4 linked regions of the Tamandua tetradactyla genome follow. The protein of the gene in region 2 interacts with the protein of the main gene of each other region in a biochemical or structural test. Links are inferred from orthologs where the notes say so. Each region holds a gene or a part of one and is shown on either strand. Other genes may lie near its edges.

Evidence for each region.
Region 1: the proteins of RPS6KA1 (region 2) and HTRA1 interact in a test that uses a peptide from one of them, tested with the Homo sapiens proteins (2 studies listed by BioGRID and IntAct, with this or other methods). The link is inferred for Tamandua tetradactyla from reciprocal best matches to the Homo sapiens genes RPS6KA1 and HTRA1.
Region 3: the proteins of RPS6KA1 (region 2) and MAST1 interact in a test that uses a peptide from one of them, tested with the Homo sapiens proteins (2 studies listed by BioGRID and IntAct, with this or other methods). The link is inferred for Tamandua tetradactyla from reciprocal best matches to the Homo sapiens genes RPS6KA1 and MAST1.
Region 4: the proteins of RPS6KA1 (region 2) and ARHGEF12 interact in a test that uses a peptide from one of them, tested with the Homo sapiens proteins (2 studies listed by BioGRID and IntAct, with this or other methods). The link is inferred for Tamandua tetradactyla from reciprocal best matches to the Homo sapiens genes RPS6KA1 and ARHGEF12.

Annotation. Positions count from the first base shown.
Region 1 is NC_135339.1:85,084,896-85,092,491, forward strand, and holds the start of HTRA1 (serine protease HTRA1), read left to right. Parts: upstream 1-4,587; 5' UTR 4,588-4,605; coding exon 4,606-5,101; intron 5,102-7,596. UniProt on the Homo sapiens protein: Serine protease with a variety of targets, including extracellular matrix proteins such as fibronectin. HTRA1-generated fibronectin fragments further induce synovial cells to up-regulate MMP1 and MMP3 production.
Region 2 is NC_135328.1:199,665,596-199,673,220, forward strand, and holds the start of RPS6KA1 (ribosomal protein S6 kinase alpha-1), read right to left. Parts: upstream 3,014-7,625; 5' UTR 2,948-3,013; coding exon 2,813-2,947; intron 2,023-2,812; coding exon 1,906-2,022; intron 1,637-1,905; coding exon 1,555-1,636; intron 1-1,554. UniProt on the Homo sapiens protein: Serine/threonine-protein kinase that acts downstream of ERK (MAPK1/ERK2 and MAPK3/ERK1) signaling and mediates mitogenic and stress-induced activation of the transcription factors CREB1, ETV1/ER81 and NR4A1/NUR77, regulates translation through RPS6 and EIF4B phosphorylation, and mediates cellular proliferation, survival, and differentiation by modulating mTOR signaling and repressing pro-apoptotic function of BAD and DAPK1.
Region 3 is NC_135337.1:89,801,169-89,808,559, reverse strand, and holds the start of MAST1 (microtubule-associated serine/threonine-protein kinase 1), read left to right. Parts: upstream 1-4,382; coding exon 4,383-4,465; intron 4,466-6,030; coding exon 6,031-6,119; intron 6,120-6,521; coding exon 6,522-6,597; intron 6,598-7,391. UniProt on the Homo sapiens protein: Microtubule-associated protein essential for correct brain development. Appears to link the dystrophin/utrophin network with microtubule filaments via the syntrophins. Phosphorylation of DMD or UTRN may modulate their affinities for associated proteins.
Region 4 is NC_135334.1:20,292,655-20,300,515, reverse strand, and holds the start of ARHGEF12 (rho guanine nucleotide exchange factor 12), read left to right. Parts: upstream 1-4,860; 5' UTR 4,861-5,737; coding exon 5,738-5,769; intron 5,770-7,861. UniProt on the Homo sapiens protein: May play a role in the regulation of RhoA GTPase by guanine nucleotide-binding alpha-12 (GNA12) and alpha-13 (GNA13). Acts as guanine nucleotide exchange factor (GEF) for RhoA GTPase and may act as GTPase-activating protein (GAP) for GNA12 and GNA13.

The sequences.
Region 1 (7,596 bases), on a different chromosome or scaffold from region 2:
TTCCTCCATTTCTCATCGCGGTGGGATCCTCCTGATCCCTCAAATGTATCTCATTTGTCACCTCCTCTCAAGGTTCCTGATTCCCCCTGCATTTCCTTCTGCCACCCTGCATTTGTTTTCTTCCCCCCACCTCCCTGTGGTACAGGAGGCGCTAGACTCATCTGGCTCATGGGGTGCACTCATGTGGCCATTTAAATTTAAATTTAATTAAGCATAATTGAAATAAATGTAATTTAAATTAATTAAAATTAACTTAAAATTTAATCAAATTTAAAACAAAAAATAGTGGGTACTTTGTTGGACAGCACAGATAGAAAACACTTCCATCACTACAGGAAATTCCAGACTTTGAGCTCATGGGGAAAGAAGTTCATTTATTCAGTGCTGCATCTCCAGGGTCCAGCAAAGGGTCCGGCACACAGCAGATGGTCAAGAAATTGATTTTGAACGGAACCACACTGAAGTGACCTGGCCTTATCATCAGGGATACACAACCAGGAGTGCCCACAGTCAAGGGGGTTGTGGCCTTTTGGGAGAGGGTGGCGGAGGTGACGGCAGAGTGCCAGGTGCTCAGAGGAAAGGGAGCCAGGAGTCTTCTACCTGGGTGCTGAGTATCCTTCAGGGACAGAGTGGGATGGGTGTGAGGGGCAGTAAAGTGGAATCTGCCACCCTGGAACTAGAGGACAACCTGGCTCAAGGCTCAGGGTGGGTCAGTTCACAGAGGGTTTTGGATTTCAGGTTGGAAAGTCCGGACTTCATTTCCCTGGGATTGGGAGCCACTGAAAATGACTGAGAGGGAAGTGATAAGTGAAAGAGATGAAAGTTATTAATGTAGATGCTGTGAATTAAGAAAGGCCATATGCCTAACCATTCTGGGTCCTTTGTACATTTGGGAGAACAGTGGAGTCCCCAGGCCCAAGTGGAAGCCCTTTGTCCTACTGGGCAGCGCAAACTGGGCTGCTCCATTCCAATTAGAACCTCATTTCCTGAGTACAGCTTTGGCAGCCATGGTGTTTCATTGTTCATTATTCACGAACAGGCTCTGTTCAAAATTAAAGCCTGAATGTTATAAATTAGGACTGCAGAGAGGAGGGCAGGGACCTGGCCTGTGGAGCTTCAGAACTTCACCCTTTTCTCTGGAAAAATCCTCCCTCAGACTCTGTGCCAACCCCTGATGAAGGAGAAATGAATTTTCATGACGTATCAAAACATGCATCTTTTAAGAACTAGCTCTTAATAAATAGTGTTGGGGGAAGAATCTAAAAGAAAGAAAGAGCAGACCTTTCTCATCCAAAGCATAACTTCCAGACACACAGAAGCTCGAATGAAGGGAAGCTCACCAGTGGGCCCCTGAGTCCAGGTTTCAGCTGATTTATCCAGTTACCTTCCCCACTGCACGCGAGTGTGTCCCAGGCACACATGAAACACAATTCAGGGCTCCTAGATCTTTCCAGTGGGACTTGGGTTTCTCCAACTGAAGAATTGCAGGTGCGTTGTCAGAGCCGGTGGGGGGCTGCACTCACAGTGGAGGATGGTCCGGGATGGGATCGCAGGGTGCAGCGCTCCTGCTGACCTCGTCTTTCTAAAGCCTTGGGCATTGCAGCTTCTGCCTCTCCTGTATCACCCTGGCCTTCCATCCATCCCTTCCCATACCCTTCCTGCTGAAGCCACCGGCCTGGTTAGTGGTATCTTTCTTTCTCTCTCTGCATGGTCTCCTGGTTTGCACCGACTGAGCAGCACTGTTGACAATGGTGTGCACAGGGCTGTGAACATCACAATAGTAGTTCCGAGGGTACACTGAGGACGAAGGCACTGTGCTGGCCTGGGACATCCAGAGGTGAAGAAGATAGGGACCCTGCCCCAGGGGGGAAGGTGCAGGGCACCTGTCCAGGGCAGTAACAATGGACAGGTGACCAAGGGTGAGAGGTGGAGACAATGGCATTGAGCAGGCAGGTGAGGGTGGGAGAGGAGTGTGACAGGCAGGCAGGACTGGAACCGACTCTGAGCAAGGGCTGTTTGGGCCTGGTATTTTACCTGGGCCAGTCATTCACAGGGGACCTGCAGTCACTGCCACGTTCCTGGTGAAGGTAACTGAGGTGATCGAGCAACCTGCCCGGAGTCACAGGGTTGAGGGTTGAAATGGCATGATGCCTGCCCACTTCACTAGCTTGGAAGGGGAGGAAGGGTGTTCCAGGCAGAGGGAACAGTGTAAGCAAAGGCAGAGACTTAGAACAGGAAGAGATTGAGGGAGATTGGATCTTGTACTTGGACAAAAGCCATGCTCTTCCTCTTAACCTGTGTTCCTGTGGGTGTGAACCGACTGTAAATAGGACCCTTTCAAGATGTCTTATCAGTAAGATGTGGACTCATTTGCAGACGGGATCTTTAAAGATCCTATTTAGATGTGGCCCAATTGAAGCAGGGTGGGAGTTAATCCATCCTACTGGGTCTTATACAGAGAAGACAGAGGAAGCCACAGGAAGAAGCCAGAAGTCACCAGAAACCAGAGAAGCAGACCCAATGAGGGAGAGATGGCCAGGTGACGGAGGCAGAAACGTGAACCACGAAACCCTGGGGCGTGTAGCAGACCAGCACCAGAACCCTACAGACTTTGGAGAGAAAGCACGGCTTTGCAGACACCTTGATTTCGACGTCTAGGCCTGTGAGACAATGAATGCTTGTTGTTTGAGCCGATTCGTTGTGTGGTATTTGTCATAGCAGCCCTGGCAAACCAAGACAGGTTTGTTCCAGAAAATGCAAGTTGTTCAGCATTGCAGGAGTCCAGTTTGTGTGTATGTGTGTGTGTGTTGAGATGAGGGATGACGGGGACTCAATTCTCGGGGGCTGAGTCATTGACAGGGAAGGAGTTCGGAGACCCCATCCGACAAGTAACGGGGAAGCTTTGGTCACATTTTGTTCTGGATTCAGCTACCTCATGCTGCAGTCTGATCACTTGGCAGGAGGGTGGAGGACGGGGTGTTTTTTTGCAGGTAGAAGGGCCACTCAGAGGAGTCCTGGCTCTGGCTTGTTCACCTTGAGGTGTAACATATGACACTGGAGAGCCACTCACCCTCTCTGCTCCTCAGTTTTCTCACCTGTAAGATAAGGGAATTGGGACAAAAAACAGTTTTCACCAATTATTCCTCACCTGGTCTTCTTTGATTTCATCTCCCCTCTAATTTTGGTTTTGAGAGTCCTTTTATTTGCAGATCTAACATGCTGAGTAATTATCTCCATCCTTCCCCCCTTTTATCTTAGCCCACAGTCCCCCACGTGCTCAGAGCTTCCCATCTGGGCAGGTATCCACCCTCCCGGAGAAGGAGGTGAGGTTCTGGCTTTATGAAATAGTGCAGCATAGTCGGGGAGCCAGGCCGGTGCCCCAGTGTCCTTTTCCTGCCCTGTGCGGCTCTGCCTCCTTTCTCCCACTTTGTTCCCAGGCATCCCTCTGGGCACTGGACGTTTAGGAGGTGCTTTGAAGGGCTGTGCGTGTGTGGGCGGACATCATAAACATTTGGATTTTACTTTTTAAACTATTTTTATTGGAAGAGTAATGCGTGCACAAAGGAACAACCCAAATACAGAAGAACAGTGAGGAATCCCCGGGCCGCCCGCGCCCCCTCCCACCGCTCCCCGCCTCCCCTCCAGGCTCAGCTCCCTCTACAGTTCCCTCCCGTGTCTTCGCGTCCTCGGCGGCGCAGGCTTTTCTCTCCTGCTCGCGTTGGCCGGAATCCCGGCACTTCCTGGTGCCTTCGTGGACTCGCTTCTGTCCCCACAAGGATGCACTGAAGCCTCTCAACTGGGAGATCAAAAGAGAGCTTTTTTATTTTGTAACAAAATGGTCTTGAGATAACACAAGCACATGGTAAAAAATTCACAGTACTAAGCCCCTGTCCCACTCCACACCCCTGACCCTCAACACCCACCCCCGTTTCCAGCTTCTCGACTCTCCTTTTGTAAATATTCTGCACGGGGGGAACATGCATCCCACCCATAACTTTTGAAATGAGTCGATTGCAAATGATTCTGCTCTAAATACTTCTGCACTTGGCCTTTGTCACTTAACCACGGGGCTCGGCGCTGGCTTTTCCCAACCCCGTCTTCTATGTACGGCTGCACCGGGCACACGATGGCGGGCCAGAGTGCCGGGCGCGGGGTCATTTCCAGCGAGGTGCTTGTCCTCCTCCGGGGTGCGTGATCCGGGCCGGCGATCCCCGGCTGGCGGATCATCAGCTCGACATTCTGCAGAAACTTTTCCTGAGTGGGGCGCATAGACGGGGAAACTGAGCCCCGAGCGAGGACCGGCCCGCCCGCGCCCCACCGGGCCCTGCCCTGGCGCGCCCGCCCTGCCCCCGCCGCGGGCGATCCCGGTCCAGCCGCCGCCCGCCCTCCCGCCATCCGGCCTGCCCCCCTCCCGGGCGCCGTGCCCGTCCCCAGGCGGCTCGTCACCGCTGCGAGGCCAATGGGCTGGGCGGCGCGGCCACGCGCACTCGCACCCGCTCCCCCCGAGTTCCGACCCGGCCCCCGCGGCGGCACCGCCTCCCGCGCTCTCCCCGGCGCCGCTCCCCGGCCCTCGCCCAGCCCAACGCCGCCGCCGTCGGAGCCGCCATGCAGTCCCCGCGCGCCGCGCTCCTCGCGCTCCTCCCGCCGCTGCTGCTGCTGCTGCTCGCGGCGCCCGCCTCGGCCCAGTTGCTCCGGGCCGGCCGCTCGGTGCCGGCCGCAGTGGGACCGACCACCGGGTGCCCGGAGCGCTGCGATCCCGCGCGCTGTCCCGAGTCGCCGGAGCACTGCGAGGGCGGCCGCGTCCGCGATGCGTGCGGCTGCTGCGAGGTGTGCGGGGCGCCCGAGGGCGCCGCGTGCGGCCTGCAGGAGGGCCCGTGCGGCGAGGGGCTGCAGTGCGTGGTGTCCTTCGGGGTGCCCGCCTCGGCCACCGTGCGGCGGCGCGCGCAGGCCGGCCTCTGCGTGTGCTCCAGCAGCGAGCCGGTGTGCGGCAGCGACGCCAACACTTACGCCAACCCGTGCCAGCTGCGCGCCGCCAGCCGCCGCTCCGAGAGGCTGAGCCAGCCGCCGGTCATCGTCCTGCAGCGCGGCGCCTGCGGCCAAGGTACCTGCGGGCCAGCCGAGGGACCGCGAGGCTTTTGGGCTGCGGGTTCCGGGCACTCACTGGCCGGACAGCGGGCCCCGGCCCCGGGGTGGTAGTGTCCCGCGGGCTCCCTTGAAATCGAGCCTTGCACCCAGCCGGGGGTCGGTTCCGCGGCCGGCGGCTGCCAGGTGCGCTCTGCCTGGCAGCTCGGGATCGGGGTGGCCAGGGCGTCCCTCCCGGTGGCCGGCTAGTGGGGGCTCCCCGGGGAATAAGACAGGAAGGTGGGCATGAAGGGGGGCGAGAAGTTGGCGCCTGGGGTTGACGCCTGGTGCCGAAAGACTCGTTTCTATCGCTTTCTTTTCCTTTTACTTCTCCGTACTGCCCCTCCCCCAACCTTTAATGACCACCTTTTAAGGTTGATTTTTATTTTTTTTACGAACATTCTGGGTGAAAACTTTTTCCCCCGTGTAATGTAACAGACGGTGTTAGCCGTCCTTTTTCCCCGTTTCCCCGAGATGGTCAGCCCCCCCAGCAGGGACCAGTGTTAGCTTTAGTCCTTCTGAGCCAACCCTACAAAAATGAAAGTGGCTCTTTTTGAAGAACCGCTTGGATCAGGAAACCTGCCAAAGCAGAGGAATGGGGCCGGGGAGGGGGCAGGAAGAAGTGGAGCCCACCTCCCTCCCCATGCATCTTTTCTCCACCAAATAACCCGCCCTGGCAGTGGAGGCCTAGGTGCTGAGGGGCAAAGGAGTGGGTGGAGGAATCTCCCCCCTGAGGGACTTTCAGGAGAGATGCTCCTTGTCCTGGGGCAGCGAGAGCATGTGGAAAAACAATAGGAAGTTCAGCCGGGGCCAGTCCAGCTGTGGCCACAGGGACCCAGCTCTGTGCTTGGCGGCCACTGCGTGCTGGGCGGGCTCGGTTTCACTCCTCAGCCGGGTGGTGCGTGGAGAGGGGGAGAGGGAAGCCCGGAGCAGAGGGGCTGGGCCAGATCGGCTAGGTAGGATTATGGTCCAGCCTGGCCGGCCGGGACCGGGCATCTGTTTGGCTCACACAAAGAGGAAGGTGCTAGAGGGGTCTAGGGAGAAATTAGAGACTGTGCTTTCCTATGGTGCAGGAGCCCAGAGGCCAGCCTCAGCCCTCAGGGAGCCCCCAGCCTCGCTAGGGGCTGGGAGAGAGTTCCAGAGAAAGCCGAACCTTTAGAGGTGTCATGGTGATGGCACCCTCTCTGCGCCTGTCTGGGTGCCAGCTGCATTAGGTGCATTACACGATTCGGTATTTTCAGCCACCCTTGGAGCTTCTGTCACGAGTCTCCCTTTACAGAAGGGAGAATTGGGGTTAAATGCCTTGCCCAGGGTCATTCAACTGGGATTTGAAACGAGACTGCCTACCTCAGAGCCGCTGCCTGCTTACCCACACACCAGTTGGGTGGGGTAAAGGAAGTTTCCTAGGGCTGGGAACTGCATTGCAGGTGGGGACGGGAACAGCACAGCCTGGGGTGGGGAATGGAAGAGTGTGACCAGGCACATTTGGGAAGGGGAGCCAGGGTGATGCTGGGTCCCAGTGCTGAAAAGAACCAGCTGGGCAGGGTGTGCAGAGGTGCCTGAACCAGGGGGATTGGGGTGGGGGGTGGGGGTGGGCAGCTCAGAGCCTGGTTGTAGGTCCAGCCTAGCAGTGGGGCGCAGAATGCATTGGGTGGGAAGCTAAGGCTACTGCGGCAGTCTGGGTGGAAGGTCACAACCTTAAAAAAGCAGATTGCACAGCTTTGTCCAAAACAAGCCAGCTGTCAACTTTTGTAGTTTCACTGCCCAGGGTTCTGAGTTACTGGCACTATTCAAGCCGCCTCATTTAATTCTGTGAGACAGAGTCACTTGACGAGCTTTGGAGTTGGCAAATCCTTAAAAATTGGTTGGGCAGACTCGCTGTGTAGAGAGAAACAGGTCGGTTCCACTGACGATCAGACCCACAGCTGGACACCAGTAGGGGGGTGGGGACAGCTGTGGTGGGATGAGCCCAGTGGCCTTGAAAGGAGGGAGAGCCATAGAGGGCGCAAGATTCCTCCTTCCCTCCTTCGTTCCACAAATATTTGTTGAGCTCTGCAGTGTGTCCGACACGGCTCGTGTATTTGTCTGTCTGCCTGGCACATAGGAGGTGCCCAATAAATATTTGTTGATGGATGAGTGAATGGATCCATGAGTGAGTGACAGAGCAGGAGGGGCTGTCTTTGCTTAGTGGAAGGCATGGCTTCCCTTGGCTTTCTGGAGGGCACTCCGAGGACAGGGGTCTTGGAGCCCAGCATGCTTCCTTCAGTGGAAGCCCCCACTCAAGCGCTGGGAGGCTAGGAGCCCCAGGCAGGTCACTCGATGTCACTGTTCAGTGAAGTTCCTTGGCTGCCTGCTCTGGCTCGGAGTGTAGACAGTGGTGCTGTTTTAGCCGGAAAGGACAGGGCAGGCCTTTGAGGGTGCTATTAGAAAGGAGGCCTGACGTTAGGCGAGCCAGTGTGGGGGCAGTCCTGGGGA
Region 2 (7,625 bases):
GAAAAGCCATGTTTTAATATAAATCCCATTTCATAAAGGTAGAATAATCCCTATTCAATACTGTATATTTGAAACTGTAATGAGATCATCTCCCTGGTTGATGTGATTTAGTCAAGAATGGTTGTTTAACTGGATTAGGGGATGACATGTCTCCACCCATTTGAGTGGGTCTTGATTGGCTTATTGGAGTCCTATAAAAGAGGAAACATTTTGGAGAGAGAGACTCAGAGAGAGCAGAGAATGCTGCAGCACCACGAAGTGGAGAGTCCATTGGAGATGAGGAAGGAAAATGCCTCCCGGGGAGCTTCACGAAATAGGAAGCCAGGAGAGAAAGCTAGCAGATGACGCCGTATTCGCCATGCGCCCTTCCAGCCGAGAGAGAAGCCCTGACTGTGTTCACCATGTGCCGTCTTACTTGAGAGAGAAACCCTGAACTTCATCGGCCTTCTTGAACCAAGGTATCTTTCCCTAGATGCCTTTGATTGGACATTTCTTTAGACTTGTTTTAATCAGGACATTTTCTAGGCCTTAGAACTGTAAACTTGCAACTTATTAAATTCCCCTTGTTAAAAGCCATTCCATTTCTGGTATATTGCATTCCAGCAGCTAGCAAACTAGAACAGATACCCATCCTGGTGTCACTGCACTGACCACACCTACCGCCTCACCCATCCCAGCCTGGGAGCTCTTCATGGACAGGGGCCAAGTCTTTTCATCTTTTTCTTTCCTCAGTGGCTCTCACCATCCCTCCTAGGGAATGAGTACCACCCTGACCAAATCTACCATCCCCCCACAGCCGGCCCTTCATGGGCCTCAGGACCCATAGTGTCCCAAAGGCCAACACCTCCTATTCCCCATCCCCCACCCCCACCAGCCAGGTGCAGGCTCTAACTTTATCTGGCCTGTGGCTGCACTGGTTCCCAGAACAATTAGAGACAATGTCCAGCCCAAAGCCTGCCACTAGTCATTTTTACATCCTTTGGAGGTCCCCAGCATTCTAAACCTTAGCTTGGGGCTCCCTTCTGAACCTCCTTGCCATACATCTCCATGGCCCTGCTTCAACCTCACCTTCTCTTGCCTGGCTCAGATGTTCCCCTGGGATTGTTGCCTCTTCTCTCACACCCTTTTCCACCTAGAGCCAGGAGACCAGAGAGGTCCCCCCTGGGCTCACATCATGAGGCAGCCCTGCTGACAGTTAGACCTCCCCTTCCCGACCAGCCTGATGCTAGATATCTGAGGTCCCCACCCCACTACAAACACACTGCATTTGTCCCTCTGCCTCCTTCCGGACAGTCACCTTCCATCCTGGTCATTGGCAGGTGGCTGCAGGAGGGGACGTGGTAATGCCATGGGATATTTTCTGCTGAACACGCCCTCCCTCCCCCATCATGTGTGTCCTGTGGGTGGCTGAATGCAGGCCTACATCTCCTCTCACAGACTGGGCACTCCTGAGGACAGAGCCACCTTCTCCATCAGACCTAAGGCCCTTGACGGATGGCTGTCTCCCTCAACCCTGGCCCCAGCCTAGGCTCACACGAGGAGCTACCCACTCACCTTTCAGTGTCGCCTTCTTTAGCACCTTCATGGCGTACAGGTGTCCACTGTCAGGCCGGGTGACCTTTCGTACCAGGAAGACCTGAGAAGGCAGTGGGGTCGGGGTGGAGGTTGATGGGGGCACCTGGGACCGTCAGACCCCACCCTCCAGGTTCCAAGTTGACCTCTAACTTTCCGGAGCCCCAAGCTGACCTTCTGCCCTCCCCCAGCACCATAGTGACCTTGCACCATGGTGACCTCTCACCCTGCCCCCAGATCCCTCAACCCTACCCCCGATTTCCTGAGTGACCCCTCACCCCCCACCTCTGACATAACCAGGGAATTCCTCCCAGCAGTGGGCTCAGAACTCACTTTGCCAAAGGATCCCTGGCCCAGCACCTTGAGGAGCTCAAATTGGGATGGGTCGGCCTTCTCAGAGCCAGCCTTGACGTGGTGAGTGATGGAGATCTCCTTGAGGACGCCCTCATCCTGATTGAGGGACAGAGCTGGTGAGCACAGAGAGCCCACGCAGGGGCCCCCCCAAGTCTGGGACCATTCCCGCTGGACCTCAGTAGACAGCGTCCTGCAGGTCTGGCCAGGACACTACCCCAACTGCCTCTGAGTTTACCAACCCCAAAAGGGCTTCAGAGACCTGGAAGGGTCAAACCACCAAGGTGTGGGTCAGGCGACAAGGATGCTGGCACAACCAGGAAGGAATTCCCCCCAACCGCAAGCTCTGGCTAAAGCCCTGAGACCTCCAGGTCGTCCCTGAAGGGCTTCCCTTCCCCTGCTGCAAACGTTTTTGGTTTTGCTACAATAGGAAGTAGGGTTTATTCTCATACTGGGTAGGTGGAGTTGGACCTTTGTTCCTGGTCAGGATGAGATGGAGTGAATCCCTCTGGCCAACAGGACAAGGCCGAGGTACACAGAGAGCTGAGTCACCTGGGACTTCCCTACCTACCCAGTAAGCACCAGCCTCGGGTGGGTGGGAGTTAAGACCAGAAATGCCATGCCCACCCTTTCAAACTTCCCTTCAATGAGCCAATTGCCAGGCCCTGGCTGTTCTAGGAAGCTTCTGCTGTCTCCCAGTTTTCTGGTGTCTCTAGAGCTCTGAAGGCCTCTTTACTTCCCTGGGAAGCAAGTCTAGGCAGGGTCCAGTCACCCACGGGGCCAGGCTGGGACCAAGAGAGCCCAAAGACAACTTAGGCCAAATTGGCTGCCCAGGCACCTGCTCCAAGGGCCACAGCCAGGCCAGGACCAGATATCCGGGTACACTCACCGAGTCCTGCTGGGGGCCAGAGCCAAGGCCCGAGGCAGGCAGAGAGGTTTGGCTGATCCTGGGCCGCTGCTTCCTGGGCAGCCAGGGGAGCAGGGCCCAGAGCCGCAGACGGGGCAGCTTGGGATCCTGCTCCATCTGGCCAGCAGGGCCGCGGCACCATGGCAGGAGCAGGCAGCGTCCCGGGCTGCCTCGGAGGCGGCCCGGCCCAGGGCGGATGTGCAGGGTGATGGCGGGGGCTGGGCCTGGCCCAGGACCGCCAATCATTCAAGGTCTGTGGTTTCCCAGCTCCAGGCTTACACCCTCACCACGTTCCCTTCCTCTCTTTTGCCCTCACCCCAAAGCCTGAGGGCTGCCCTCAGGCCCTCCCTGCCCCAGCCTCCCTGGGGGCCTCATGCCAACATAGTTGCTGAGAAGCAGGTAAGTACTCTGGGTTAGGCAGGGACAGGCACCTAACATATGAAGGCAGATAAAAAAAAGACATCCAAAGGGCAGAGGCAGGCATCCAAGAGGTAGAGACAGAAAAAAACAAGCACCCTACAGGCAGAGGCAGGAGGAAACATACCCAAGAGGCAGAGATGGGCAGAGGCATGTTCTCAATGGCAGAGGCAGATGAGGACATGTACGTAACAGGTGGAGGCAGGAGGGGACATGTATGCAACAGGCAGAGATGAATGGGGACACGTATCTAATAGGCAAGGCAGGAGGGTACATGTACGCAACAGGTAGAGACAGAAGGGGGTACCAACCCAACAGGCAGAGACAGACAGGTGTGGGTCACCTAGTGGATGACATGTACCCAACAAGTGAAGACAGGAAGGCACTCAGCAGGTAGACACAGAGACAGGTAGACACAGAGACAGGTAGCAGGGCGAGGATCCCCAGGAAAGGGGGCGTCAGAGCTCCAAGACAGAGCTCTGGATTCTTTCAGTCTGCCTGGGGTGGAGGAAGGGATGAGGGGACATAACCTGCAAATCCCAAGAACCCAGGAGAGGAACCCGGTATTTGTGGCAGACCCATCTCTGAGGTCCCTAGGACCTTCTTCCCACCCCAGGACCTGAGGGGTCCAGGACTAAGATGGTGGGCTGAGGGGTCATCTCCAGAGCGCACTCTGATGGCTTTGACTCTAATCCAAAATATCCCCATTTTGAGAACAGGAAACTGAGGCCCAGAGAAGGACAGTGACTCACCCAGGCTCAAAGCAAGCCAGTGGCAGAGCCAGCTAAACCCAAGTCCCTCCCCTGGTTGCTGCCTGGCCTGGGATCAGCAGGCCTCAAGTGCCAGGAAAGGGTGGGCAGGTAAGGCAGCCAGAGCCACTTCCTCCCCACCGAGGCCTGCCCCCTCCCTCAGCATCAGGGTCAGTCTGGGGACTTCCCACTCTAGGCCTTGACCCTCAGAGACAGTCCCATCCCCAGGGGACCCTCCCTGAAAGAAGGGGGAGTGGTGTAACAGCCATAAAAAGCTGCAGGCAAATCAGGCTTGAGTACAAACCCCTGGTGGGATAGGCCGAAAGCCTGGCCCAGAGAGAGGCGGGGGGCGGCCAAGACCACACAGCCATTTCTGCCCACCCTGCCCTGAGAACTGCGCCTCTACCTCATCCGTCAGCTGTCTCTGACCGAGAATGCTCCCAGGGGACAGAGGCAACTATCGGGAAACCCCAGGACACAGAGACACCCCATCCTCCAAACCCTTGCCCTTGCCCAGAGTAATGGTGACACATCACGAGACGCAGGCCTTCTCTCTGCTCACCTTCCTGGGACAGAAGACCAAGTCTCCCCCAACCCTGGGGAAATCTGCCGTGGTCTGCATGGTGGGGCTCAAGCCGGTGGCCAGAGGGCCTTGTTACTCCCTTTACTTCTGCTTTTTCAGTCTTCCCAGCCCAGAAGGCAGGGTCCTTGGCCCCCCTCCTTCTCACTTCCCCCTCCGCAGGGAGGAGGGACAGAAGATGGGTCAGGCTCCCCTGCTGAGGAGGGGTTACCACAGACCCCAAGCCCGTTACCCCAGGGAGGACTGGGTGTGCGCCCCTCCCCATCTCCTCTAACCCTAGGGAGGGGACACAGGAATACAGATGGAGGTCATGCGGCAATGAGGTGGTGACACAGGGGGGCATCCCAGCACCCGGGAACACCCACCTGGAGGGGCCCTGAGGAAGGGGAGACAGAAGTCAGCAAAGCCATAGCCTCTGACTGCCCAGCCCAGAGCTTAGACGGTCCAGCTCAAGACACTCCTGCCCCCACAGCGCCCTTCCTGTGGCTGGGCCCACCCAAGATGCCAGCCTCACAGCCGGCACCACAGGACGCAGCCCTCCCCGGCTCCAGGGCTCTGCGTTCTCAGCCCTGCCCTGAAGAGGCTTGCTGCTCCAGGGCCCAGAGATGCAAGGGGGACAGCCCGACACAAAGGACAGGATAGAGGGGCAAGGGGCTGTGGGGCAGAGCCAGACCAGGCCCAGCCCCTTTCCATGTGGCCTCATCTTATCACTCACACCAGTGCACCCACAGGAACTGACAGGCACACAACCACACACTCAGGCCGGTGATCGGAAACCATTTCCACAGACTTGGCCTATGTGGAAATACACGCCTGCAGTGCCCACGGACTTCCCCTTCCCTGCCCTCACGGGGTCTCCGATAACAGCCTCCGATGGGCGATGCCAGGCGTTCTGAAATGCCTCCCTGAATCCGAGGCTTCTCACTGCACCCCAGCTTCCTCAGGCTCCCCCCATGGAGACCGGGACAGCCCTGGGAACCTCAAAGCTCTCTGGCCCAGCAGCAGAAGAGGGGCCGGTGTCAGCGGGGCATCCACCACCCCCATTCCCCCCGAAGCAGAGGAAGAACCGCTGCGGCCGGCAGGGCACAGGAAGGAAACAGTCTCAGAACGGCCTGCACAGAAGGGCATGCGGAGGGGCTGGGAGGCCTCTAGCGGCAGGAGGACAGGCACCAGCCCACATCCCCTCGGTCCCTGCCCTTCGCTCCCCACCAGAGACACTTCCTCTTGATTTACTTCCTCCCACATGGCAGCTGGAAGAGAGATCCAGAGCACTCTAGCCTGACCCTTGGTTCCCTGATTTCCAGCCCTGGCCTCCCTCCTCCAGCTGCCGCCCAAGCCCACCTGCTAGTCCCAGTGCGTAATGGACACCACTAGCCTTTTGCCCAGCTGGCAGCATCTGCGGGCCTACCAGGCACTAAACCCCTCTGGTGGGACAGATGCCCCCAGACGCAATTCCCAGCATGCCTCTGGGCAGGTGAGGAGGGAGGCTGCCATTCTCAGGCATCCCTGAAGGCAGAGCTGGCCTCAGGCACCAGGCCAGGACCTGCACGAGTGACAATGAGAACTGCACCTCCTATTAGCCAAGCGTGTTTTGCATGCGGCCATTCTTTTTTTCAACCTTTGCCAGTGGGGATTCTGCTGTTCCTGTACTCGGCACTGGGGCTGGGGCTGGGGCTAAGATCCTGTGTCTTGGCTCCAAGGGAGGTACTGTCATCTCATTTCAAAGATGAAGAAACTAGACTCAAAGAGAAAGTGACCTGCCCAAGGCTACATGGCTAGAAAGAGGTGGAGCCAAGGGCAAAATCGAAGTATAAAGACCCTGCTTTTAAGCATTCCCTCACTGTCCTTCCCGCAAGGGCAACCAGCCTGGTTCTCCTCCGGACATCATTCGCAGTGACTGATCCCCTCCTCTCCCTGGCCAAGAGGTGCGGAAGCTAAGGCAGACCCTGGTCTTGCCCTCATACACATGATAATAAAATACAACTGTCCTGCGACAGAACTGAGAGCAGGTGCTGTGGGTGCCTGGCAGTGGCAACTCAAAGCTGGGTTCTGCAGATGAGCAGACATTGGCCAGGCCGAAAGGAGGAAGGAAGACATACAGGCAGAGAGCCAGGTGTGGGCAAGAGTTTGGAGGCCAAGAGTAGAGGTGGGAAGTCAAGAAGAACTGGCCACACACTGGTCAAGTGCTCCCAGGCCACGGTCTTTCCCTGCCTGAGCTCTGATTTCCTTCTCTATAAAATGGAGGTAAAAATGGCATGCGCTACTCTCAGAAAGTTGTTTCTAGAAGCAAACTGGGCCATGGAGACAAAGGGACATTGTAAACAGAACTTCTCCTTGGTTTAGCTGGGCAGTCTTACCATGGTCAGAGGCCAGCCCCAGGGCCCCAGGTGCAGGGAGGGTGGGCCAGGGGAAGTCCTCCCCCAACACCTGAGGCTGCCCAAGGTTCCCCGAAGTCCGTGGTCACATCCTGCCTGAGCTCCAGCCAGGGGAGCATGAGGGATCCGGGAGGGATCAGGGTTTCATAAACAGGAAGAGAGGAGGGGAGGGGGTTGACACTCAGCTCTCAAAATAGACCTGCAGGCGCTTCAAAGGGGTCCAGCTCCGGAGGCAGCCAGGGGAGGGGGCCTGGGTTGCCCAGTCCACCCCCAGGAAGGGAGGGTGGGTGAATGGAGTCCCAGGGTGCCTGAGGATTCCAAATGCACCCAGAGTGCTGAAGGGATCCAGCGGAGCTCACCCTGAACCCGCTGTATACACTGTTGCCCCTAAAACCCCAATATCCCTTTCTGCCTGAAATGAACACAAATAAACAAGCGTTAAGGACCTGTATTGTGCCACAAACTTTGTTGGTTGCTTTATTTTAAACACATCACATTTTGGGCTCTATTCTCCTTCGACAGGAAAAGAATCTCAGCCTCAGAGGGGCAAGTCATTTGCTCAAGGTTGCAAGGCAAATGAGAAACAGGGTTTTGAACTCAGAATGCCTGAATGCTGAGTCCCAGCCCCTGCCATTTCTCCAGCCAGGAGGCCCGATTTCCTTCTCTAACTGCCC
Region 3 (7,391 bases), on a different chromosome or scaffold from region 2:
CCCTTGGGGTGTTTTAGTGCTGGGCGGACTTTCTACCCATGAGAATGGCTCTCCCCTAGGGGGTGTCTACGCATAGGGGTCTCTTCATGGGGCCGTCTGTAGGTGGCCTGGCTCCCGGGGGGGGCATCTGGAAGTCCCTCCCCTCGCCCTCCTTCCCGCCCCCACCCCATCCCCACCCCCACCCCAGCGCCTGCAGCCGTGGCCGAGGCCGGGCTCGGGCGCCCAGACGCAGTGACGGCACCGGGACCGCCCCACTTCGCTCCGCCCCCGCCCCCCCCAGCCGCCGCCGCCGCCGCGGTCCCCGCGGCTCTTCACTCCCTCCCTCCTCCCTCCTCCCGCCGCCGCCGCCTCCCTCCTCCCTCCCCCGGGCCGAAGCCGCCGCCGCTGCCGCCGCCGCCGCCGCCATGGACGATTCGGGCCTGATCCGCCGCCGGAGGCTGCAGGTACGCCGCGGCCCCGGAGCCGGGCGGAGGGGAAGGGGTCGGCGCCCTGGGGCGGGGCCGGGTAGGGGGCGGGAGAACTTGCACCAGGGTCGGCCCGGGCGCCCCCTCCCACGGACTGGGGACGCTGTCAGCCGGGGACGCGTTGGCCGCGCGTCCCGCCGCGCTGGGGACCCCGCCCCTCAGGCGCCGCCCGGGGCTCCCCAGAGCTGAAGGAGGGGGTGCAGACTAGCGCTCCTCCTCGAGGGGAGCCTAAGGGTCGCCGGTCCCGCCCGGGGAGGAGGGGACTGGGGCCGAGGTCATCGCCCTGGCCCCCCCCGCCAGGCGGACGTGGTGGGGGGGGGGCCCGCAAGGCAAAGTTATTGCCCCAGGGCTGCGCCCCTCGGGGCCGCCGGCGCCGCAGCAGCCGTAAACATGTTTGTGCGGCAGCCTCGCCCCTCATCACCCCAGGAGCCCCTTTCCGAGGCGTGGGGTTCCCCTGCACCCCCCATGCACCCTGCCTGATCCCCAGGATTCTTCCTACTGCCCTAATTGGACAGGCACCTAGACAGCCTCCTCACTTTTCATTCTACCCCATTCCCCACTCCCCCCTCCCTCCGGCGATCCCCAAGTCCAGCCCAGCTTGTGGGTGGGCGGGAGCGATTTTTAGCTCCTTGCAGCCTTAGAAGACGCTGGTCGCCGCTGCGCAGGCGCGGAACGCGTGGGTCCACTGCGCGGAGTGGGAAACTGAGGGCTGTTGGGAACGTGGGAAAGGTGGGGACAAAGCCAGGCTCAGGGAACTTCCACCTCCAAACCGCGTGAGGATTCTGAGGCTCAGGTCTTCAGCTCGGGCTTCTCGGGGTGGGGTGGGGATTTGATACGGGGGTCAAGCGCTGCCCCCACACTGACTCCGAGGGGAAACTGATCAAGGCTTTATCCCACTGTCGGTCTGAGGTCTGGCCCTTCTGAGCTTCTCTCCAACCCAGACCCGCTCCCGGTACTCTGGGGGGTGGGAGTGGACATAGATAAAGCCAAGTGTGGGCCCAGACTCTCGCTGCACCCCAAGACTGCAGCACGAAGGGGACGAGTCAGACTCATCCAGAGCGCCTCGTCCATCCCTGGACTCCTGTAATCCACCACCGGAAATGGAGAAGGGTCTGGCCATCGAGGTTGGAGACCAAGGGGAGCTCAGCGCCCATTGCAGAAGGAAAAATGGGGGTCAGATAGCAGGAAGGACTTTTCAGGAGGCTGGATGATGCTGGACCCAGGCATGGTTTGGAGAACTGATTTGGTTTCAAACAGAACCCAGATGGTCCCATCTCAGAGTCTGGGTCCTTTCTTTGGCAGGGCTGGGGGCGTTGGAAATGCGTTCTGAGAAAAGAGAAGGAGTTGCGACAAAGGTCGAGCAAGCGCTGCAGCAGCGGGGCTGGGTCCGCTCCGTCGGGTCCCTGGGAAAGGAGTGGAAAGGGGCGGGGCCTGCATGGGGTGTGTCTCCACCCTCCGGGCGGGCGCGGACTTCCATTGGCTCACCGCCACACGGGGCTGCTACCTCCCGCGGAAGGCTCCGCCCCCAGCCCTTGAATTGGGAATGGGGATCCCGCCCAGACCCTTCTCTCCACTTCCCCACCTTCCTCACCAAAGACGCCATCACCGATCACCGCCTGGCGACCGCCTGCTGGAGTCCAGTTCCCCTGCTTCCTTTCTGGCAAGATTAACCACTTCCCTGCTGAGTGCACACGTACACACACACGCACACACACACACACACACACAGATGTACATAGGTACAATCCCTTAGAGACTCTCCAACCATCGCAGAGCACCCAAGAGGTCCCCGGTGTGCATTTGGGATAGAGTACGTATGCAGGCAGCATCCTGAATTTGAACACCCTGTCGGCGGCGCCATCCATTAATTTTGAGGAGAAGCGGAATCATCTCCCTAGAGAGACTGAGATTGGACCTGTCGTCTAACTACCCTGACACCAAAGGTCCGAATCCTTTGCCACTCCGGTTTGTCCCCTCCCTCGACTTTAGAGTGTTTGGGAGCGCGAGAAGTCGAGGCTGTGTTCAAGAACTTACTCCTCCGGTGGCGCTTAAATGTCCCCACGGGGACCACGCTCGAAGGCCAAGGGTGCCTGCGTTAGAAGGGACCTCTGCCCCTCTGGGCTCCGTGGCCACAAAATCCAGACCTGGATTTCACTTGGGCCATTGCGGACGCGCGGCAAGTATGGCAGGTCCAGGCTGGGACTCATTCACGCCTATTCCGCAAAGACAGAAGGAAAACCCGGTGTGGATTTCTGGCCACCCGTGGCTCGAGAGGACAGGGCTGACAACAGGGGACAGCATGCCCAGTGACCCTGTCCATAAGCCCGTCCTCTCTCCATGAGAATGAGCTGTCCCTCTGGCCCATCTCCTGTCCTGGTAGCACGTCCATTCACAATTACTCCTATTCCCACGACCTAGTATTTATTGAGTGCTTACTATTTGCACGATGCCATCTCACAGAATCATCCCAGCTACCTTAGGAAGCATGGACTATTGGAAGGTCATTTGCCAAGGCCATAAGGGACCGAGCTGAGATTTGAGCCCAGGGCTTCCTGCTTTCTGAGATCTTAGGAAGAATCGAGAATATCCTCATTTTACCTTTCTTAGAGTTCCCACAACAGAGCTTTAGAAATCTCCCCCTGAATCTTTGCAGCCGCAGGGCCCCGGTCCAAGCCCCTTCCTTCCATCTCTGAGCTTTTCAAGATCGAACTAACTGGAAAGTGACATCACCTCTCTCCACTGCTGTCCTAGGAAAAGGGCCAAGATGCCCTTAACTCCAGATCCCTGAAGTTAGTTACTGAAACCTGGACAAATGGAATACAATCTTCCTCGAACGTGAACACACAAAATTAATAGCCACCAATTATTTTTATTGGCCATTGTGGAACAAGATACCAGGCCATTCACATTTCAAATCTCCTCCACCCAACACCCCCAACGGGACCAGGGTGAGGCAGGTCTGTTGGACTGTGGAAGATTCATTCATTGATTTATTCATTCAACATTTCATACTTGAACATGCCAAGATCATTCTTGCCTGAAAGCTCTTCTCCTTGCAGTTCCCTCTTCCTGGGGAATGCTCTCTCCATAGATCCTCCCAAGGCTGGGTCTTGCCTTTCAGCAGCCAGCTTAAAAGTCACCTCCCCAGAGTAGCCCTCATCCTGCTTCCTTCTATTCATAACACTTATTACTGTCTAAAATAATCTCCTCCACTTTATTGTCCATCTTTCTCCACTAAGTACTAACCCCGGAAGGTTTCTAACTTGTCTTACTGCTCTAGCCCCAATGCCTAGTTTAGGGGCTGGCATACAGTAGGCGCTCAAGATATGTATTTTTTCCAACAGAGACTGCTGCTTCATTTGCACGGACACATTGAGATGCCAACTCAGGAGCCCACCTATGGGGGCCCTCCTATTTTCTCTGCCCTGGTCTCTGGGGGAGGGGTGGGTGGAAGAATTCCCCTGGAACCCTCTCCCACGAGAAACCCGTCCCTCGCGCATCTACAAGGATGAAAGTGACAATGCTGATAAGGGACCCGCGTTCACCCTGCTTCTGCTCCTCCGGGGGGGCTGCAAGGACTTGCCGGCAGCGGTCACTGGCCCGCACTGACCCTTGTCCTTCTGCCCCTTTGCCTTCCAGAAGGATCTGCCCCTGCCCCGGAAAAGCAGCAGGTGAGCTTTGGGGAGAGACACGCGGGGCTGGCCGCCCCTTCTCCGGTCCGGGTGGGGGCGCCAGGCTCGCGCGCGGGCGGGGCCTGAGGCGCCGACGCACCGCAGCGCCCCCTCCTGGTGGGCGACGGCCGCAGGGTCCGCCCCTCCCCCGCCCTCCCTCGCCCGCTGCGGCTCCAGCCTCCGCCCCGCGCGCTCGCTCCCCGCGCCACCGCCGCCGCACCTGCCACCATGTCGCCGCCGCCGGGTCATGTCTGACTCTCTCTGGACCGCGCTTTCCAATTTCTCGATGCCCTCCTTCCCTGGCGGCAGCATGTTCCGCCGCACCAAGAGGTAGCCCCCTCGACCCCCACCCCCGCCACGGACCCTGCCCGGGCCCTCCCCTCCAAAGCCGCCCCTCCGGCCGCTGCCGCAGGGCGGGGCCGGGGATGCTGCGCCCGGTCCAGCTGCACCAGAGGTGTCAGGGCTGTGCCTTCCCGCCTAGGAGGGGAGCGAAAATGGGGGGGCTTGTTGTGGGCCGAGGCTGGGCGGGGGGGGGGGAGCCTGCACGCTGGGGGGTGACGGCCACAGGGGGAGGGGGGCTGCGCTTGGTGGGGGGCTTCGGCGCCTTTGTCTACCCGCGCTGCGGGCCAGGCAGCCCGGGTGGGGGTGAAAGAAGGAGGGGAAGGTGGGGGCTTGGCACCCTCAGAACAATAGCCGCAGCCTGGCTGAGCGCCCCCCCTCCCCGTGCCGCGTGCGCTGGACGCGCTGATCTGCTCTGTCACTGCGGCCGCCGGGGGTGGGGGGATGGAAGGGCTGGGGTCTCCCTCTTCGGGGGCTGGAATCCTGAGGGGCAGAGAGAAATGGGGGGAATTTTATCAGAGCACAGATTCCACCCCCCCTTCAAAGAACCCAGCTTCACACCGAAAACAGTGACACACAGAATCACGCAGGACATGATGTCACATTCACACACACAGCCCTAGCGGCCCAGATACACCCGGGAGGCGCCACGCACACCTCACCATGCAGTGGCCACGGGCAGGACCAGGAATAGACACACAGGCGTGGAAGCCCACAGGTCCAGTGAATTTCCACCCGGTAAGATGTCACACGCATAACCATCCATGCACAGATATGCTGTCGACATGCACACAGATACATGTGTGGCAAAGATATCCATGCATCCAGCAACATCAAAATGCTTGTTGTCACCCCTAGGCATGGTACACAAACACCAGGAGAGAATGCCGCGGGGAATCTTGCAGAGACAGAGACACACAAAATCACACGTTATCACACTCAGGACTCACCCAGGGGATGTCATGCAAAGTGGCATGCTTGGACATGCCTGGTGTTGCAGGGTATTACACCTCCTCAGAGGATGCATATGTGGGCCACATACTGACACTAGGGCAGTAACTCACACCGATTCGGAATGTCGCCCAAGGACAGACAAATGTAGTGGAAATCACACATCAAGCCCATACCAGAGCCCATGGTGACATTCCTAGACATGAACAAGTGGCATTACACATGGACACACAAAAGCACAGAAGCTGTCACACAAGATAAACCCAGGGAGCATCCCACATGGATGTCACACTTGCACACGCCCGGTGTTACATTGACCTCGCACTGTGAATGTCACACACAGTACCAAGGACAGGCAAGCAGACACTGGGTGACTGAGGCACTGTGTCCACACGGAGCGAGTCCAGCACGCACTCATCACACACTCATCCTCTCCCCACGATTGTCCTGCCGAGGCCTTCGTGGCCACCTCCTCCGAGCAGCCCTCCGGGGGCACCTTCAGCACACAGGAATGGGGGCCGTGGGCAGGGGGTGAGCGGTGGGCCGGGCTCCGGGAGCTCGCGCGGCTGCGGCCCGGCCTGGCCCCGACCTTGCCTTCCCCGCAGCTGCCGCACCAGTAACCGGAAGAGCCTCATCCTGACCAGCACTTCACCCACGCTGCCGCGGCCCCACTCCCCGCTGCCAGGCCACCTGGGTATGCCTGGGGGCGGGCGGCTTGGGTGGGTGTGGACCAGGCCGGAGAAGGCGGGGTCACAGGCGAGGGGCGGGGTCGCGCCGACAGAGGCAGGCTCAAATTGGGCAGGGGGCGGGGGCCATCCCTTCTGGGCGTGGCCGCTCACGGAAGGTTTGGCAGGGCGGGGGCGGGGTCAGACTGGGCGATACAGCAAAGGGGGTGGGGCCGACTTCAGGGGCGGGGCCAGACAGAGGCTGCAGGGCCTGGGCGGGAACCAAAAGCGCTTAGAGAGGCGGGGCCTCTGCGAAAGGGGCGTGGTCAACCAGCCCTGGGGGCGGAACCAGATTAAAAAGGAACCGGTAGCTGCTTGCAAATCCCAATTGCCGCCATCCCAGGCCTAAGAGCTCCCTCCTTACGCCACAGGCAGCAGTCCCCTGGACAGCCCCCGCAACTTCTCCCCCAACACCCCAGCCCACTTCTCCTTCGCCTCCTCCCGAAGGTGAGTCCCTCCCCCCGCAGGAGTCTCAAACCCTGCCCCCAGGCCCTCCCCGCCCACCGTCTGGGCCTCCATCTGTTCTCCTCTTAATTGCACCCGTGTCGGGGCCAGAGGGGACCCCCAGAGTGGTCCAAGGTCTCAGGGGGGCGGGGCGCCTTGCAGTGGGGGCGGGGCCAATCGCCGAGCGGGAATCGGTCGAGGGGGCGGGGCTTCCTTTGCTGCGGAGCAGAGGCGCGTGCGCCCTGGACCAGGGTCTCAGTCTCCCGAGCCCCGAGCTCCGGGCTGGCCGTTTCCATAGCAACAGGGCAAATGAGCCACGATGAGGTGCGCAAGCGCAGACTGCGCGGCGCCCATCGAGTAGCTCTTGGTCTCCGGGTGGGGGAGGGTGGCTGTGGCTACCTCTCCAGGGCCCGGGAGGAGGAATCTCAGGCTTCCCCTTCCCGAGCCTCTGGGGGGAATGGGGTGGGGGGCTCTGGAGTGTCCCCAGAAGAATTATCTCGGGGTCTTTGGTGGAATGAGCGGTGGTGGAGGACAGAGAGGTTTCCCTGATGTTTTTGGAGAAACTTTCTGGAAATTCCAGGTGTTCTGGGCGAGTCATTTTGAAGGCCATTCTCAGACGTTGTCTCAACATCTGCCCTGTGCTGGAACTGGGGAGGCGGGGTCTCTACCCTCAGCGTCTGCTGGGGAAGGAGATCAGGGAACAGGGATTCCTGCAAAGAGGGGTGAATGCTGCGGGCTGGGAGTCCCAGGGGGCGGCTCCCTGGGGAGGGGTCTGGGAAGGCTCCTCTCACCCTGGA
Region 4 (7,861 bases), on a different chromosome or scaffold from region 2:
TTAATTACTGAACACTCTATACCAACTATGTTGGGTCCCAAGACCACCCCCAGGTTCATCAATTTGATTGAAAGATCCAGAGGACTCAGCATATAGTTGTGCTCAAGGCTATGATTATGGCATAAGGATACAAAGAAAAATTAGCAAACAGAAAAGATATATGGGGCAAAGTCCGCGGGAAACCAAGTGCAAGTTTCCAGAGTTCTCTCCTAGTGATGTCACACAGGATGTGCTTAATTCCTCCAACAAGTTGTGACAACATGTGTGAAATGTCTACTGAGGAAGCTCATTAGGAACTGAGTGCCTGGGGTTTTTACTGGGGGCTGCTCACTTAGGCAGCCTCTGCCTGGCATTTACCATGATTCCGGACTCCCAGAAGGAAAGCAGGTATTCAGTATAAATCATAGTGTTTGCCCAAACAGTTTAGCCACAGTGAGCCACTCTTATCAGTTCATTGTGGGAACCCTCTTGAAATCTAAGTTCCCAGATGCCAGCCAAGGGCCAAACTTGTAAGCAGGCCTTTCCAAGGACAGCAGGACATGCCTGCTGTGTTAACTCTTCACTGCACAAAAACCATATAGCTAGGGCTTTGGATGTGAGATGAATGTGGTGTGCGCAGATTTACTGAGTCCAGTTGTACAGGTTCTGCCCTACCAGGAAAACTGTATGCCAGTTCTCAGGGCTTTTGTGCATTAATCTCCTAGGCATGAGAGGCTGTGACTAAATTCCATAGGGATTTACTATGTGGATTCCACTGTGCTTGAGATGGCAGTTCAGGTTTCAGCTTTGCTGTACATATTGCAAACGAGAACCAAAGACTTTAAAAAGTATGTACTGGCCTCAGGGGGGAGATGAAGCTAATGTTTTGTTGTTGTTACTTCATATATTTTCCTTTTTAGTCCTCCTCTTCTTATTTCTCTCTTAAAAAGGTACCACTCTCTTTGGACACATTATTTTGACCAGGCCAATCTTGGAATAAATAAAATATATTTCTTAGAGCAATGGTCTATAATCACACCTTGGAAAAGCGAGAATATAAGCCTAGAATAGGGGGTAGAAATAAAAAATTCCTGGGTTCTTTAACTAATTTTGCTACTCACTCACCAGATTATTTACTCTTTGCCTCAGTTTAAACCTTTTTGTGAGTGAAGGAAATATCCCGGCATGTATTCATAGAGACATTGTGTGGCATTTTATTAATGGCAGTCTTTAAGTTATGACTTTTATGAAAAAATGAAGTATTATGTATGTATTTATTTATTTATTTATTTAACTATGTTATGTAGACCAGTGAGTGTCTGACTAGCTCAGTTGGTGAGCAAGTGTGTGGTGCTTATTGAAGTCAAGTAGAACGTCAGTCCATTCCATGTCACAGAAATACTAAACTAATGAGTGTCTTGAAAGTGGATGTTTGTATGGTTGGCCATAGAAACAGGCATGAGGGAGTGGGTGGAATTACACAAAGTCATCACTGCTATGGGAAAAGCACCTTTAAAGGCATATTAACAGTGGGTCTTTTTAAATGATTGCCATTTGGTTAGAAAGTTTTACTGGGCATTGACACAATCAAACAGATGGCATCTGTGCATCTTATTTCTATTATCAGTATCCCTGAGATGCTGCTGAGCTTCCTCCCAACAAAACTGTGGTCAGCCTAGAATGCTGGGAAGTGCTGATTTTAGCAAAAGCCTAGTAAAAAAAGAGTGGCTTGGTACATGAGCTTAAAAAAGAAAGAAAAAGAAAAAGCTGGCTCTTGAATTTTGGCACAGTGCAACCTGTTCCATACCAGACAAATGAATAGACTTAATCTGGTACCAGTTCTTTTCTCTTGACTCTTCAGAAGCAAAGGGATAGCAGATCTTGCCGTTTTGGGGCACTCTCATGGGAAAGTACCTAGTGTTTTTTTGAACCATGAGAAATCTGAATACGAAAAAGGGAATCCCTCATTTCAGCTGTTCTTGACATTGTGGCTAATAACTATGAAGAAACTTCTCTGAGAGAAAAAATGTGAAATGAAGATGACTCAGCAGTTAAAATGCTGAGTTTCTGCACCACAGGTAAATGAAGGGCTAATTAATCTATGGTATGGTTGGACAAAATGAAGTACTCATTTGCATTTGGATTGCTATGTAATAATTATTGATACTGCCCAAGAACGATTTATATATAAATAAGATTTGTACTAAATTTTATAAAAATAAACACATTTAAAAAATCAATTCAGAAGTTTTTATATCTTTTTTGTGGTTATACCAAGAAGCAAAGAAAAAAAATTTCTGACTTTTTTTTGCAGAAATATTGACTCATATTCATACTTCTCAGTGAAATACCTCTTATCAGTTGTTATCGGCAGCCATTCCTACTATTCTTTATTTTAGGGAGCAACAATCTACATATTGAAAAGTTTGTCAAAAGAGAGAGGAAAAAATTTATTTCTTGTGCTGCCACCTGACTGCCTTGAGAATAATAATGTGGAATGAATTCCTTGAAGACAGGGCCTGTGGCTTTCTTCAGAACTGTACTTCCAATGCCTCCAACAGTATGCAACACATAATAGGTACTCAACAACTATGTGGACAGAATGGAGAAGGCGATGGGAATGTGGTTTAAAATAATCCCCATTGGAAAACCTCCTGAAAGGGAATGCCTGGTGGCTTGGGTCATCAAGGTCATTTTTACCCCCGGAAAGGACTCCTTGACTCTGGGGAGTATCTTCTAGCTAAATTGACTCTTCTGAAGAAATTCTATAGATAGAGCCTTTAGAACAGTCAAGAGCTATAAACAGCTGTAAAGAGGCTTTCAAGGGACATTTTTTACCATTAGAGCTTCATGGATGAATATAGAGATTTTCATCATTAAAAAAAAAGTTCTGGAATGAATAACCACTGGCTTAATTAAATCCTTTGCTTACCATCTTCTGAAGCTTTCCCACAGCAAAATGCCTTCTTTGCTCACAGCTAGAACTTTGAGTCTGTTTAAGTTTGGAAAGGTCTTGAAAGCAGTCTGCCAAGAGGTTTTGTATGCAAGGAAGAGAAGGTGAATTAGGAAACTTTCCCAGTTTGTTTTATTCCTGAAGCTCAAGTATTGAGGTATTCTTGACGGGAAGAGGGGAATTCATTTTTAAAATGCATGATTGATGAGTCACTGGGAGCAACTAATTTGACACACTGTAAAATTTTTAGTTTTAAACGTATTCAGTACATTTAAGAAAGAATTATTAAATTGGACATAAACTTTGGATTTTGGTCACTGTATACAAAATGGATGGAGCTCATTCGAATTATGTGTAATATACAATTTAATTAGTGTCTTCAGATAGAATTGTCATCTAGGAAACACCAGCAGGTGGCAATGTGTCTTGGTCTGATCATTAGGAAAGTGGCTTGGAACCCTAATGTGCTTCTATTCTTTCCAAAAATAAACATTACAAAATTAGCTGGCTGTGCCTTGAACTTAAAAAAAAAATCAAGCAATAAAGAGTCATCTTTGGACTCTGTTTTGTTTATCTTTTCCTTTTGGTTCCCCCGTTTTAACGTCACCCTTAGCGAATGCATCTATTCAGGGATAATAATCCTTTCATGAACTTTGTGGAATGACGTTTAACAAACATTGTTAAGAAGTAATTGTTTCTTCTTTCCACATCCACTGCATATTAGATTTGATTTGCCACTTGATTTCCACAAAATGGCTGAAGCCACTCACCCACCAACTTGTCTAAACGTACAAGTCTGAAAATAGTTGAGTAACAAGGGCAGTACTTCAGACGTTTGAAGGCAGAATTAAAGAACTATATTATATGTTGCTGTTAAATTGCCACAATACCGACTTATTCAAACATAAAACTTGGATATCTAAAGCTCTGTCTCCAAACGGTAGGGGGGAAACCCCAAAGAATATTTGGGAACTCTTCAGAGAGAATAATAATGCTATTGGATATTTTTTCTCTCTCATTTCGTCTCACAATAAGCTTGTTAAATCATAGTGGAAAGCATTATGCTTTCTCAGTTTGGCAAATAATACATTTCATTTTGCCAAGGCAGAAAAAGCCTAAAAACAATATTTATCCCAAGAAATCCTGGCTTCAATTTCCAATTCCAGTCCCTAAGCCCCACACCTGCCACCTCCCACCCTAGGCAGCCAGGACTTAAGCGCCACGGCCCCTCTCCTGGGACGAGGGCAGCAGGTGCTCCAGGTGAGCTGCCCGCGCCAAAACCTCTCTCTTGGGGTTACCTTTAGGGGAAGAGGAATGGGATCCGGGATGGGCCCATCGGTCAAAAGCATTCTATACGTGTTAGAGAGTAAGGAGAACAAGTACATTCAATTAAGGAACAGAAGTTTCTAGGTCAAGGGCAGAGGGGGTGGTAAATTCCAAAGGCAGACCCTCATCATGAACTCCTAGGGACTGGGAGAGTTCTCTTTGGAGAACTCTGGTTAAAACTGAGTTAATACACGCTCAACCCCGACGCACAGCTCTCCGGCAGTAAGGGGGCGCCGGGGTGGGGGTGACGGTGTGTTAGTTGGTGGAGCTCCTGTGGCCTCAGGCTTTTCACCTTCCTCCGCCCCGCAGGACTACTTTTTCGTTCCACCAAACAAGGCTCTGGCGGAGGCGTCCGCGCGGGAGCCGCGCGAAGACGAGACGGTAGAAGCCGCGGAGGGATCTCGGGTGAGGTGGCTTTCCGAAGTCCGAGGGCAGCAGGCCAAAAAAGTCGGGGAGGAGGGGGTGGGCGTGGAAGGGAGAGAGCGAGCTCGCCTGGACGGGGCTGGGGCCAGGAAGGCCGAACCGGAACCGGAATCCGCGCGCGCGCCTGCAGTTGTCGCGCGGCCCCCCGCGGCTAGTGTCCTCCTCCTCCTCCGCACTCCGCGCGCGCGCCCGCGAGGGCCCCCGAGACCCGGCGAGCCGGCCCTGTGAGGGGAGTCGCTGCAACTCGCCCGCCCGCCCCCTTCGCGGGCGCTTTCGGGCCGGACCCGACAGGAACCTCCCGCCCCTCACGGGAACCGTCGCCTCTTGGAGCGTCGGGGAGGAGCCACCTCAGCCGACTGCGGAAGATTCCGGCCGGGGAGGGATGGGGAGCAGCCTGCGGCGCTGAGAGACACAGGTCCCTGTCATTTCAGGCCGCGGGACCCCCTCCCTAACAGCACCCGCTGCTCGTCACAGCGCTCGGAGCCTGGTGGGGGCGGTGAGGAAGACGAGAGGGGTCCCTGCCCCGGGGATATGGAGCCCCGTGAGCCGGGTGCGGGACTGCCCGAGACGCTGCAGAAGCTGCAGCCAGGAGCCGCCGGCAGCCCCAGATAGAGACCTGGGCCGAGAGGTCCTGGCCCGGCGGCGGCGGCGGCGGCGAGTTTGAGACCCCAAAGGAGGAACCGACTCTCGTCACTAATCCGATCCCTCCCCAGCCCGGAGGGATTCCTGGGTCCCCTTCCCCGCGGCTCGTGACTTCCCTCGGTGACGAAGTTTTTTCCCTTGTGCCTTCCTGAGGATTTATCACTAGCTTTAGAACTCGCCTTCTGGCAGACTTTCTCGGTTTGTTTGGGGAGATAACTTGTTTTGCTCCAGCCTATATCTACCCTGTCTTTGACCCCTTCCAATCGGATGCTCTAGATGACTGAATGGAGTTTTGAGTTGGACTTTTGTGTCCCTGAAGGAGTTGGGCCTGATCCCAGAGCACTGGGGGTGGGGTGGAGGTGTTACTGTAAAATGCAAGTTGGATAAAAGGAGCACCTCTCGCCAAGGGCCCCAATGAGTGGCACACAGTCTACTATCACCGACAGGTTGGTATGAAGCTCCTCCTGCTCTTAGTCTCCCGAGGTTCGGCCCTGCCTACTGCCGATTGCCTTTGATTAGTGAAATTGACAGGCGGGTTGTTCGGGAGCTATGCAAATAATTTAGGGTTGCTGCCGAGTCATCCGGTTGATTAAATTTGGAAATGTAGTTTTTCTGGAGAGAAACTTCTCCAGATTACCTGTAAAGCTATAGGTAAAACCGCGAATGTGGTTTTCTGTCTGTAAGTGCATTAGAATCTGTACTCAGTCTGAAACCAAAGGAAGGTCATTTTAGGTGAAGGTCAGTGTCTGAAGTCGGCTGAGTATTGGTTTTTCCTCAGTTTTAGTCCAATCCTGCAGTCTCTAGACACGTTAATTTTAGGAATTTCGATTTGTGAAGTTAATTTTGAGTTGCTGCATGGTGATTTATGATTTTAATCTCTTTTAGGTGTTGACCTGCATAGTGTTTACTTATCTAATAATTTTCTAGAATGTTAAATTTACCAGTACATCCCAGGCTCTTGCTGGAGGCACGATCAAGGACTGGGGGGGTGGGGGGGGGGGGAGAGGGAAAATCGTGAGACTTTATTTTAATTATTGAATTCTAATATTTTCAGAAACATTTGTATTTAAGGGATATAAACCGTAAGGTAATTATGTAGTACAAGCATGGCAGGTAGATTTGTTAAGTTGTTTGTCTTTTTTAGTACCTGGCTATGTTGCGTTGTTATATTTGGTGAACAGAGCTACACCATAGCAATCTGAAGGGGGTTTAGAGATATAAGTATATTGATTCCTTTATCACACTTTATTTCTCAGTTTAATTATGAGACTGTATCCTGGACCCAAATATCAGTCAGCTTGTTGTTGTTTTAAGTCAATCTTTAAACTATTACATCATTAAAAAGAATAGATCAGGTAACTGAGAGGCTCTGGTTTTTAAAAACATTTTGATGTAAAGTGCAACAATAGAGTACCTCCAGAAAGCACATGAATTTACTAATAAGGGAGTTTTACCCAATTGTAAGACTCACTTGTTGATTTTAAAAGGGCCAAATTCCATTATCATACCATAACAGCTATTCCAGAAACAGAAGAACTTCCTCTTCCTGTTGATGCTTTCCAGTGTCATGTGACTGTTCACCTAAAAGATTCCATTAAAAACTTAAACCATCTATTTGTTCCCTGGTTGCATATTTTTAAAAATGGGTTTTATTTTTCAATAAAATAATTTTTTGCAGAGCACACAACAGAAATAGCAACAATGCTAATCTTATTCTTTTCTAGTTGTCCCCATTCCTCAATTATACAGGGTGTTTTGCTTTTGAGAAATCACTTTCACGGGTTTTTGGGTAATTGTTTTCCTGGATCACTCAGTTCTTGCCCTTTCTGTTGAGTTTGTAGACAGAAGGTCTTATTAGGAACTAGTAAGTTCCTAAGTAGCGTTGATAGTTTTCATTGCGGTGCTAGGGGCATTTAATTTTGTGGAAACAGAGCTTAGTGCCCCCAGCTCCTTCCAAACAAAAATCACCAAATGCCCCCCCCCCCCCGCCCCCCAAGTAATGGCCTTTCTTCACCTTTGCTCCCCAGGGCTTTTCTTCCTATTTCTGTTATCTGGGAAATAAGATCTTGGGATTTGTGTTCTTTTTATAACTCACTAGAGGTATAAGCTTGAATAAACATGCAATTATTTAGAGCCTTTTTCTGTGCCAGGTAGTGTGTGAGGCACGAAAGATGGAAAGATGAGTATTCTAAGTATAAGATGAAACTGCAAATTGTTTTGGGTATTTATAGCTTTGAAACTGGTTCAGGTGCTGCTGATGTTCCATATTTTTTTAAAGGAAACAAAAACTTTTAATTAAGCACTGCTGAGAGTATGAATACCTGTTTCTTAGGAATTTATTACGAGTTTTTTTTTTTTACAAGCATTATTCTTATATGATCACTACTTTTCCTCAAAACATGTCCTTTCTGTAAATATTGATCATCTGTTTGCTCTTTAAAAGAGTAGTTGTCCTTGACTTGACTTGCATATACGTTGGGGTGAAATTTGGAAGTATTGGTTTAGTATTATTTATGTGCCAGGGGGCCTTAACAAAGT